Drosophila melanogaster: one gene and its partner. The gene in region 1 interacts genetically with each later gene. Each region holds a gene or a part of one and is shown in the gene's direction. Other genes may lie near its edges.

What was found.
Region 2: of dan (region 1) and hb, changing one enhances a phenotype caused by changing the other (phenotypic enhancement), as found in Drosophila melanogaster (one study listed by BioGRID).

Annotation. Positions count from the first base shown.
Region 1 is NT_033777.3:25,182,424-25,187,386, forward strand, and holds the start of dan (distal antenna), read left to right. Parts: upstream 1-1,959; 5' UTR 1,960-3,006; intron 3,007-4,963. UniProt on the Drosophila melanogaster protein: Probable transcription factor with a role in the retinal determination (RD) network. Regulates ato expression and is required for normal R8 induction and differentiation.
Region 2 is NT_033777.3:8,691,798-8,699,824, reverse strand, and holds the start of hb (hunchback), read left to right. Parts: upstream 1-2,002; 5' UTR 2,003-2,499; intron 2,500-5,224; exon of another isoform or gene 5,225-5,369; intron 5,370-5,652; 5' UTR 5,653-5,670; coding exon 5,671-7,947; 3' UTR 7,948-8,027. UniProt on the Drosophila melanogaster protein: Gap class segmentation protein that controls development of head structures.

The DNA of each region.
Region 1 (4,963 bases):
GAAATGAAGCGACCCGGGCAGGCTGCTTGGCTTTTTAGTGGCAAGGATATGTTTCTTGCCAATGCGGCCCCATGCCGGCCATCTATACTCGTGGTCGTCCGTAGTCCGTCGTCCGTCGTCCGTTGTCCGCTGTCCGTATTCCGTAGTCCTGCGTTATTGTTGCTCCTTGTTGTGTATACGCCTCTACTTATATGTACGACTACACTATATCCTTGGGCCTGTGTTTTCGTGTGCGTGTGGCTGTGCGTGTACGTGTGATTGTGCGTTTCGGACATGGATTCAAAAACCTTTCTTAGCGATTTCCCGAAAGGCAGCAACTAGCAACTCTGGCGACACTGCTGCTGTCTTTTTCGTTGCCGTTGTTGTTATTATGGTCAGTGGCCGCCTTCGTTGGCCAGATACAATAGGGAAATAGGGAGCTATGTATGTGCGATTGTGTGTGTGCTCTGCGCAAATGTTTTGCATAGCAACTACTAAGTCTACGACCTCAAAATGCCTATGTGTACACACGCATTATATAAGATCGTAATCTCGGGGCTATCCCACGATGGTGCAAATACTTGTCAGGTTTTTCTTCTCTCGCAGAACTAATCAAAATACACTTTGACTTGAAACTTGCTTGGGAATGATATCAACAATCTATTTAACATGGTTTTTTATTCCTACCTAGAGCTTATCAGCTCGGTAATTAATATTACAAGGAACCTAAACATCTTAATGCGTAACCATGTTAAACATTGGTGTATACCAAGCATTGAATATGTTGTGCACTAAGTATATGAATATGTATGAATATGTCGGCACTTTAATGGAAAACATAAGTTATTGTCCTGCCTACCTATATACACTACAATTATATTATTCTTGGTAGCTAAATATGGGAAATACATATTTTGAAGCTGGCTATCACCTGAAATTTGCAGCTGATTAGTTTCTTGTCCCACAATTTGAATTCGATTATTTCGCCATCTGACATTTCTAAACCGCAGCAATTTGCCTGCAAAAGTCGATGGAGAAACAACCACTATGTCATGCCCATATCTTTGCGATCGAGTGTCCGTTCGAGAATTCCGGTTCCTTCGGCGATCGCCGGTCACGCTCCAGCGAAAAGAGCGACGAAAAGAGCCAAGAAAGCCACTCTGTTGGACGGATTCGCCTTGTTTTCAAGAATGTGGGTTTCCCAAGGGGGGTTTCCCCGTGGGGTCACCACCTCCTGCCGTCATAACTTCGTTCGGTTCGGGCGGCAAAAAGCCGAAGACGAGGACGAAAGCTGCTCTCTCACTGGCTCTCTCCCTCTCTCTCTCTCTCTCTCTTAAGGAAGAGGATGTTCGGTTCTCATTTGCCTCAGCTCTTTGCGAAACGGTCGCGAAAGAGAGGCGAGCCCACGTAATCTGCGATGAAGGCATGTATCAAAACAAAGCGAGGAAAACTGGCCGCAATCACAACAGCAACAACTGCAGCACATGACAGCGGGAAAACTAGCAGAATTATCAGTGACGATAAAAGGCGCACCCCCTACTGCGAAAATTAGACAGGGATTTCGGCTAGGTTTTTCACGTTCTTCTCGCAGATCCGTTGCTCGTTTGATAGTTGTTGCCCAGCGTTTAAGGAAGCAGAAAATGGCTTAGCTAAACGCAAGCAAATGCCTCCTGAGGTTGCACACAGTCTTACACTGGAAAAAATCTAGATTTTACCTAAAACTAATACAGAATACAAGGAAATATAAGCTTGGCAGAAAAGTAATATATACTTTTCATCACAAGCGATCGTATCATCTATTCGTTTATTTGTATGAAATTTCATTTTCATAGTTATAATCATGGAATATATGTACATAACTAAGAGATACAAAATTGCTAAATTATTATACTAAATTTCGAATTCTTACCAAATTTAATAACATTATCTTTACTAAGGTATCAAGATTTTTCTCTCTGTGCTCACACACACACGTGGGCGCAAGAAAGGAGGCCGAAAAGGATGTGCGTCTCTCAATCTCAAAAAGCCTAGCACGAGTATTGCGTCGTCTTCGTTGCACACAGCTGTGTGTCCGCACGTGTGTGTGTGTGTGTGTGGGAGGATGTGCTGTGTTAGTATGTGTGCTCGATATGTGTGTGTGTGAGTGGACACTGGCCTGTGGTTGGGCCGGCCAAAATGCGAAAATGCCAAAATGCGAATATTGCGAACGGGGCAGCCAAAGCGAGAGGACTTCTTCGCCGCCGTCTTGACCGTTATTAATCATTGTACATTTGGCTGTCACCGAAAAAGGCCGCGAATTTCGCAACAGTGAGAGCGAAAGAGAGCGGGCGAAAGAGAGTCCGAGAGAGGGAGCGAGAGAGAGCGACTCACGCACACGTGAAAGAAACAAAAACGACAACTACAAAACTACTAATACCAAGGCAGACCAACTGACCAGCACACAACCACCACTGCAGGACGCATATATCTGCGAGTGTGCTTGTGTATGTGAGTGAGAACGAAACGCCGCATTTCGTGGACGTGCGACTTTAAATTTCCCGTGACGTCGCCGCCGTCGTCGCCGTGCGGAAATTCGCCGCGCTAAAATCAAAATTCACTCAAGTCCGCCGCGGTAGTTTGTCGCCGCACGCTAGCCGCTCAGGTTCGCACATCCACGTCACAGCGACGCAGCGTCACAATATCACAATATCCTTCGACGAGCGCGAGAGAGAGGTCGCACCGCACCGCACCGCATGTCCTGCCGCTAAAATTCGCACGCCACAGCAGCGGTAAACATCACGCCGCATCGCGAGCACAGTGTTCGATTGTGATTGACCGAGTGATGTTATACTTTCAAATGAACAACAACATTAACTGAAAACAATAAATTCAAATCCATGTGAACTATAAGTAAAGTGATTTAAAAACATCGCCGGTCGAGATAAGAATAATTTAACTGCTGCAAATAGTTGCGCTATCACCGAATTTCTCCCGCCTTCGCTGGAAGAAGGCACCGATCCATTTTCGCCCCCGGAAGATAACTAAAAGGTTAGTATTTGATTTCACCGGTGAATTGAGCAATCCGTAAAGTGTAATTGTTAGTTCTGCATTAATTAATAACAGTTAACTGAGTGTTTTAAACACAACTTGAAGAATTGGTGACACAAGAAAAAATATTAAATAATCAAAAAATATTTATTTAAATCGGAAACCAAACATAAAAAGTTTTTCGAGAGATTAGTTTTGAAGATTTATTGTTTACCTTTCTACATAACAAAAACGAATTATTTTTACACAATTTGGAAAACAATATAAGTGCAGTTCTTTGTGTATTTGAATAGTTGCCACATTTTATAAATTAATAAGTACAAATCTTAGTAGGTCCTTCAAATAACAACTTAACAACTTTTTTATACAAAAGAGCAGGAAATATTTTACGAGAAAGTATTTATTCATATTTATTTATAATAATATTCAGGAGTGATAGATATTGTGTATAACATTAATATCTTATGTAATTTTATTATTTACCTCCTAACACTGCGTTAGCAATTACTTAAATTTGCTTTCCATCAAAAATTAATATTTTTAATTTTTTATTTAATTTTTTTACCTCCGAGTTTAGATTCAAATATTACTTTGTCCATATGATACTTGGTTTGTAAAATAAGCTTGAAAAAATGTAAATTTTATATAACTAAAGAGTTTTAGTTAGATTTCCTTTATCTACCAAGTTTATATTGAATTGCAATATTAACAAACACAGGAAACCGGTTTTATTGGCCCCTTAATGTATGCAATACTTTTTGATTGTATTTATGGTAAAAAGTTATTTTCCTATCCGTTTAGTTGTTGAACGCTTCTGTGTCACTATTCTCATCTTGTTTTATAAATTAGAAAGTATTTAATAAAGTTGCTTATTATTATCTTTCTTATTTTTTATTTTATTTATAATTATATTTTTCTCGTACATCATTAGCATTTCAGTGTTGTAAAACAACATCATTCATAACATCACTGATATTTCAACACTAGGAAAATTATCAAAGGATTTACATATTTTTATTTATTTATTATATAACTGTAATTCTGAAAATCGATTCATTGTTTAAAATAGTATTGCCCATACATGAGACCATAGTTAGATAATTTGATAAAGTTCATATTGAATCCCCCGACAATTAATAAATTCGTTCCACTGCGAAATGCCGACACAACATTAATCGGGCTAATCATAAACGAAAACACACAATAAAAAAGGTGCAATAGTGCTTAAAGCCACATAGATCATTGGTGCCAACAGGTCCAACATTACAGCAGACACATGGTTTATTTGCACACACTTAACTGCGGTGAGGGAAGCATCCCAGACATCCCAGACACACACACACTAACACACGATTGGGTTTGGACCAAAGCAACTTTTTCTTTTATCTACGGAATTCTTATTTTTATGTGTTGCCTCGTTTTTGTGTTTTATTTCTTTCTGCATTAGCACAAACGAATGGAGCTATCAAACGCTTGCACATATTAGTACTAGTTTCAGTCGTTGACCTCCATTTGCCAGACTCTCCTGCCCCCCTTCGCTTGCCCCTCCCCCCGCCTCGCTCATCCCGACCCATCCCATTTGACCCTCCTTGGTGTCCTTGCCACATTGCCACATGCATTGCCCCTCTGTGTCTGTGAGTGAGTTCAATACGAAGCCAAAGAAACGAAAAAAATAGTAAATACAATAAAATTATAATTGTATATAGGAAAATCAGAAGCTCTTAGCCCACACACACACACACATACACACTCACGTGTACGATGAAATGGCCAGACGGTTGGCCATTACAGACATACTGACGGGTATGGCCATTCCGGCATACATATGTCCTGTCCTGACTAGGTGTGTGTAAGTGTTCGGGTGTGTGAGTGTGCATGTGTGCACAGCAGCAACATCAGACACAGACGGGCCCCTTCCACACACACTCACTCACACACACACTGACAAACTTGGTGT
Region 2 (8,027 bases), about 16 Mb from region 1:
TATCATTTGGGAGATGCGAAGATCATGAGATAAAGATGTGCGGATCCGCCCTGTTGATCTGCCCAATCTTCCCCTCGAAGGAACTTCTGTTGAGACAGCCGCAGGCCAAAGGTTAAGGATAAGGATCATTTGCATGCGTGGCATGGACTTTCGGCAATTAGACGATCATGATCATCAGCATGTTTGTGTTTGTCCCGATCACCGGATAGGTATATCGCAGCTCATCAATTAAAAGGTCAAGCGTGACGGTCCTTGGGACTATTTGTTATGTCCTTAACTTCAACTTTACATAACTTTCCAAACGTAACTGGGTAGGATCCACACAGCACCCGCCCGCCTAAGCAACGCTAATCGGGCTGATCAGCGAACGCTAATCGCTCGGGACTAACTGGATCCTCCGGATCAGCGGCGCTGATCCTGCGTGATCCTGCGTACTGCGTAATGTTGGATTATGTCCTGTGCAGAAGTACGGCCAACTTTTAAATCGCTTTTAAATCCACATCACTCTAGTTCCAGTCGCACTTCTTCGGATGCGCGGATTAATGAACTGGGCGGGCCGATCAGGTAGCTTTGCGTCCTTTAATCCTTTCTTCGCTAAGTCCGGTTGCAGTTCGTATTCGTAATCCGGTTTGCCATGTCAACGTCAATGGCAGGTCTACCTCCGGTACTACCTGTTCCCGAGACGTCCTTTTGACACATATATTCCTCTGGATATGTGAGAGCAACTTGTATAATTTGCATTCCGGCGGCGATTTGTTTGCTCTGTTGTTTTGTAAATATTGCTTTTACATTTTCCCCACCCCCTCTGCCAACGCCCTAATTTCTCCCCGTTCCACTTTAGTTTTAGCCAAAATATTCGACATAAACAGGAGATTTTAGCCCAAATATTCCACATAAACAGGAGATTGAATAAAATAGCTGGAGGCACATTAATTCCGAACTTAATTATGAATTTGCATGTATGTTTTCTTTAGAAAAACTCTGATCCATACAAATAATAAGTTATCCTTTTGTATTGTATAGAGAAAAAAAGGTTTTTACCAATGAACTATGAATAATGAATAATAATAATAGTTTTTTTTTTTAGTCCAAAATTTGTCATTAAACCTAGTTAGAACAATCGCTCCTAATTTATCATTCTAAAAGCGAACATTCCGCTTGGGAAAAAAATTGGTCTAAACCGAATGATACTATTAATGATATGCATTTATTGCTAACCATAATCCTTGTCAAGCTAACAATGATACATTTTCCGAAATTAGCTTAAAAAGGTGGAATACACCCAATATGCACAAACTACCTTAAGGAGATTTGGAATTTCGAATGCTAATTGTGGCAAAGCTTTGCCCAAATTAAGTTAACACGCACAGCAACAGGAAAATGTGTTAAAGCAACAAGGAATCTCCTCGGCCCAAACTTCCATCGTCCCAATTGCAGTTGGCTAAGTTGTTAATGTGTCTGGGCTTAAAGTTGCCCAAAAAACAATTGGCGAAGGCCCCCCATCTTCCTCCATTTCCGCTCTCTCACTTTTGGGCCAGAAATCAATAATCAATAGTGAAGCGGAGATGCCAAAAAACGGCAAAGAGCCAAAAAGGCAGCTGCATTCGGCCAAAATGCAGCGCCAGAAAATGCAAAAGGATAAAATGAGCGAGTCAGAGCGAGAGAGTGGGTGAGTGAGTGAAAGAGCGAACGCCACGAAGGGGATGCTGTTTAGTTATTGCTTTTGGGGATGGGGAAAGTCACTCAGATTTACAGCTAGCATCCGTATCCGTTTTGAGTGAGTTTCGTCGTTACGTTGTTGATGCTCTCCGGCTGCTCTCTCATTTCGATTTCTGCTTCTCCGTGTAACGGCTCTCGTGCGCCTTTGTGTTGTTGCACTTCTGGCATTTGTTTTTGCTTTGCAATTGAGATTTTAGATTTGAGTTCTTTTTTGGCGAGTGCACTGTTGTGAGGAGCAGTGAGGAGATTTTCAGCTATTAGAAGAGCCCGCTGAGCGTGAGTTTGGTCAGTTGTGCTCCGAGTCCCGAAAACGAAAGTCGCCAGCATTGACAGGCAGCCACTGAAATACAAAAATAACCAAACATCCAAAGGACGAAACGTAACTGCTATCAAAACAAATATTGCCATTAAATACAATTAAACTTCGTGCTTGTGCTAAAAGATAACCAATTGCAAAAAGACTTTTGTCCCGAAAACTTATTTTTTGGCAAAGACCACATCCCGCACATGCGCGAATTCCGCGAAAAAGAAAGCACAAAAGCAAGCTAAAAAGCGAGGCCCAAAAAATAGACAAAAACGAAGAGCAAGGAGCCCCCACATCGCCGCTCCCCCTCGCACGCACTGTGCGTGTTGGTCTAACGGTAACCGTGCCGCGGTCAAGCGAGAGAGTGGGAAAGAGAGAGTCCGCGAGCGAAAAGCGAAAACTTACGTGCTCCTGCTCCTGCTCCCGGTTCCCGTTTCCAAATTCTCCCGCAGAATTGCACTTGGACTGTCCGCAAGGTAAGTAACTGGGCGTACCATCCAATATCCTAGTTATACACTGCATTCGACCTCCAATAAATCGTAAAAAACACATGGAGGTAGAAATTCGCAAAAGCTTTCCGCGGATAAACAAATAAACAAGAATTACAAATCGCTTTTGCGGGAGCAAATGCCAAAATGTTGGGGTATCCAGAATATACACAGTTTTTGTGAGGATTTACATACGCCCTGTAAATTTTAATTTAGTTCTCAATTGATACGAAATCTGTTTTTTTTTATAGAATATATTCGATATATAGTTGTTTAATTATAATTCATCATGTGATATACTTTCAAAAGAAACAGATTTAAATAGTTCGTTTATATGCTATTATGCACTATGCTTAATGTATTTTACTTTATTAATTCATGCTAATCTGATGACTGATAACCAATTTGCTTATTCTATGTCATAATCACCTTTAATCCCAAGTACTCAACTTTCTTCTAGTTCTGCACATTTTCTTGTTCTCTTCTTGTTGTTTGTAATCGAGTGCTTCTTTTTCTGTCTAACCTTAGGAACACAAACAAGAGATCTCACACACATGCACACACACAACCACACAGAGTGGTAAATCATTGCTAAAAATGCAAATGGCAAAAATTCTAAAACAATATTTTAAAATCTGTCTGGCTTTTGGCCGATCTTCGGGTGAACTTGTTTTTTGCCCGCTCTGTCTGTTTTTGCCTAGAACTGCAGCGTATATCCAACCCCCAACCGACCCCCCCCCCTCCTCATTTGCTCCTCCTAAGCAACGCCCCTGGCCACGCCCCCCTCTACGCCTGACAGCTAATTTTATTTGTTTACATGTCGACTTTCATGTTGTTTTTTTTTCGCCTTCCTGCCCCCCAAATAACCCCTTCAATTTTTAGCATTTCTTTTCGCTCTTCTTTCGGCAAATGCATTTTCGACTTTTCTTTTTTAATAATTTAAATTTAGACATCGAACTATAATTCAAAGTCAACGTGGCAATTTTTTAATGGCAAATAGTTCGGCACTTGCCAAAATGCATTTCAAATATAATGAATACACCTATGTGACGCTCGCAGGCTTTGTTTTTTTTTTTTGTTTAGGATGATGATGGGAATCATTATTGCACGATCTTTTGCAGAATTGATTGTCATCCGACAGTTTTAATGTTTGCCGACAAAAAGAACTGAGCGCATTTCAAACAAATGGGGCTTTGTTAGGCGCATAAAAATAAATATGCACATATTATACGGGATATATTTATAAACCGCAAATGACATTGAATCACTTCAGTCAGCAGCAGCAGTGCAGTTTTCCCTAAACGAATGCAGCTCCAAAAAACAACAAGTTGTTCTAAGCCAACAACATAACGGTTGCAACTACACATATGTATACGCATACATACATATATTTTATATACGCCTGCAAACAAGCAGGCATATCCTGCTCTTGGCTTGCTTTTTGTACGGATTTTTCAACAAAAACATTTTTTGTGTGGCGCATTTTCTGCGTTTTCGAATTTTTCCATTTTTGCCATTTTCATGATATTTTTAGAGGGTTAAAAAGGGGGCGGTGTTGGGGTGGGGGGGGAGGCACCAAAAACGACTAGCACATGTTTAGTTTACTTTTGCAGTTTCGGTTGCCTGGCTGCACTCGTTGTGGCCACACCACGCCACTAACCCCCACTGCATGGTCCCCATGCCCCCACCCCTGCCCCCTTGGCCCATGCCCCTGCCCGGCGTAATATTAATTTTACACTTGGCCTTTAGTTTGGCTTTGTTGCTGTTGTTGGGCATGGCACAAAAAAGCCCAGACGAAAGGCGAAAATTCTCTTTGTTTCATAGTGCGCACACACACTAACACACTTGCCGAGCAATTAATTTTGGCTTTCTTTAAAAATATCCACAAAAGCGAATTTAAATAAATATGCTAAGCTTCATTTTGTGTGGTGCACTTTCTGTTTCCTGAACCATCAATTATGCCTAAGTATTGTAGATATTTTAGCTGCCAGATAGCACAGCACCATCCTCCCATAATAATATTCCGTAAATGCCCCTTTTTCCCGTTTTGCGTTTTTAATAATATTTACTTGAAAGCACAAACAATTAGCCAAAAATGCAGCAACTGCACAATTTTTCAGTGTGAAATTGGAAATGGAAAAAATATAGGCAACAAGCAATTTTAATGCGAGAATTATTAGAAAAACTACGCAAATCAAAGTGAAATGTCTGGCGGAAAATTGTTGTCAGGAAAATGTTTTTCAAATGGGTGTGTAATAATTATACTGCACATATTATGCATATAGTTTAGTTGGTCCTTAGAGTTTTCCCGCAGGTGTAAGCAGTTCTGATCCGTTAATTTAGTTAAGTCCCGCAATCCTTTTTACTTTTTATTATTAACTACGAAACTGCCCACGCTAGCTGCCTACTCCTGCTGTCGACTCCTGACCAACGTAATCCCCATAGAAAACCGGTGGAAAATTCGCAGCTCGCTGCTAAGCTGGCCATCCGCTAAGCTCCCGGATCATCCAAATCCAAGTGCGCATAATTTTTTGTTTCTGCTCTAATCCAGAATGGATCAAGAGCGCAATCCTCAATCCGCGATCCGTGATCCTCGATTCCCGACCGATCCGCGACCTGTACCTGACTTCCCGTCACCTCTGCCCATCTAATCCCTTGACGCGTGCATCCGTCTACCTGAGCGATATATAAACTAATGCCTGTTGCAATTGTTCAGTCAGTCACGAGTTTGTTACCACTGCGACAACACAACAGAAGCAGCACCAATAATATACTTGCAAATCCTTACGAAAATCCCGACAAATTTGGAATATACTTCGATACAATCGCAATCATACGCACTGAGCGGCCACGAAACGGTAGGATATTGTTAGCCATTACCAAGTGTCTCCATTTTGAACACAAAATCACTCAAATCGCCTTCAGGGGGTGGGTGCCGCCCAGCCACCCCTGACGTATTTTTTGTTAGGGGTGGTGCCGCAAGCACACCAAAAAAAGAGAAAAAAAAAATAAAAGCGAGGAAAAATAAAATGAAAAACAAGCGGAAAAAAAGAGGAAAAAACTCGACGCAGGCGCAGTGCATGAATGAATAAATGAATATGCCCACTAACCCCACTCTCTCTGTTTTCTTATCCATTACAGCCGTCTAGAGCCGCCAAGATGCAGAACTGGGAGACGACAGCCACGACCAACTACGAGCAGCACAACGCCTGGTACAACAGCATGTTCGCGGCAAATATCAAACAGGAGCCAGGTCATCATCTCGACGGGAATAGCGTGGCCAGCAGTCCGCGCCAATCGCCCATTCCCTCGACCAATCACCTGGAACAGTTCCTCAAGCAGCAGCAGCAGCAGCTTCAGCAGCAACCCATGGATACCCTGTGCGCCATGACCCCATCACCCAGCCAAAACGATCAAAACAGCCTGCAGCATTACGATGCTAACTTGCAGCAACAGTTGCTGCAGCAACAGCAGTACCAGCAGCATTTCCAGGCAGCCCAGCAGCAACATCATCACCATCACCATCTGATGGGTGGATTCAATCCGCTGACGCCACCTGGTCTGCCCAATCCCATGCAGCACTTCTATGGCGGCAATCTGCGACCCAGTCCGCAGCCCACGCCCACATCTGCCTCCACAATTGCGCCCGTTGCAGTTGCCACTGGCAGCAGCGAGAAGTTGCAGGCACTAACACCACCCATGGATGTCACACCGCCTAAGTCGCCGGCCAAGTCGAGTCAGTCGAATATTGAGCCGGAGAAGGAGCACGATCAGATGTCGAACTCCAGCGAGGACATGAAGTACATGGCCGAGTCCGAGGACGATGATACCAACATCCGGATGCCCATCTACAATTCGCACGGCAAGATGAAGAACTACAAGTGCAAGACCTGCGGCGTGGTGGCCATCACCAAGGTGGACTTCTGGGCGCACACCCGCACCCACATGAAACCAGACAAGATCCTGCAGTGCCCGAAGTGCCCGTTCGTCACCGAGTTCAAGCACCACTTGGAGTACCATATCCGGAAGCACAAGAACCAAAAGCCCTTCCAGTGCGACAAATGCAGCTACACGTGTGTCAACAAATCCATGCTAAACTCGCACCGCAAGTCGCACAGTTCTGTGTATCAGTACCGTTGTGCGGATTGTGATTACGCCACCAAGTATTGCCACAGCTTCAAGCTGCATCTGCGCAAGTATGGTCACAAGCCCGGCATGGTTTTGGACGAGGATGGCACCCCGAATCCCTCGTTGGTCATCGATGTTTACGGCACGCGTCGTGGTCCGAAGAGCAAGAATGGTGGACCGATTGCCAGTGGAGGAAGTGGCAGCGGCAGCCGGAAGTCAAATGTTGCAGCTGTCGCTCCGCAGCAACAGCAATCTCAGCCAGCTCAGCCAGTCGCCACATCTCAGCTGAGTGCCGCCCTGCAAGGATTCCCTCTGGTTCAAGGCAACTCCGCTCCTCCGGCGGCATCTCCAGTGCTCCCGCTGCCCGCCTCTCCTGCCAAGAGTGTGGCCAGTGTGGAACAGACGCCCAGCTTGCCCAGTCCAGCCAATCTTCTGCCTCCTCTGGCCAGCCTTCTGCAGCAGAACCGCAACATGGCCTTCTTCCCCTACTGGAACCTCAATCTCCAGATGCTGGCCGCCCAACAACAGGCCGCTGTCTTGGCCCAATTGTCGCCAAGAATGCGAGAGCAACTGCAGCAACAGAACCAGCAGCAGAGCGACAATGAGGAGGAGGAGCAGGACGATGAGTACGAGCGTAAGTCAGTGGACTCTGCCATGGATCTGTCCCAAGGAACGCCAGTGAAGGAGGATGAGCAGCAGCAACAACCGCAGCAGCCGCTGGCCATGAATCTCAAGGTGGAGGAGGAGGCCACGCCTCTGATGAGCAGCTCGAATGCCTCGAGACGCAAGGGACGCGTCCTCAAGCTGGACACCCTGTTACAACTGCGATCGGAGGCCATGACATCTCCCGAGCAACTGAAAGTACCCAGCACACCCATGCCAACTGCATCCTCGCCCATTGCCGGACGCAAACCCATGCCCGAGGAGCACTGCTCGGGCACCAGTTCGGCAGATGAGTCGATGGAGACGGCCCATGTGCCGCAGGCCAATACCAGTGCCAGTTCGACGGCGTCCAGCTCGGGGAACAGCTCCAATGCCAGCAGCAATAGCAACGGCAACAGCAGCAGCAATTCCAGCAGCAATGGAACCACCTCAGCGGTTGCAGCTCCTCCATCCGGAACTCCGGCGGCGGCGGGTGCCATCTACGAGTGCAAGTACTGTGATATCTTCTTCAAGGACGCCGTGCTCTACACCATTCACATGGGCTACCACAGCTGCGACGATGTGTTCAAGTGCAACATGTGCGGCGAGAAGTGCGACGGACCCGTCGGCCTCTTCGTTCACATGGCCAGGAATGCTCACTCCTAAGTTCCCCATCACCATCACCTTGTTATTATTATTTATCACTATTATCATATAATCGTTGTCCAGAATTGTATATATTCGTA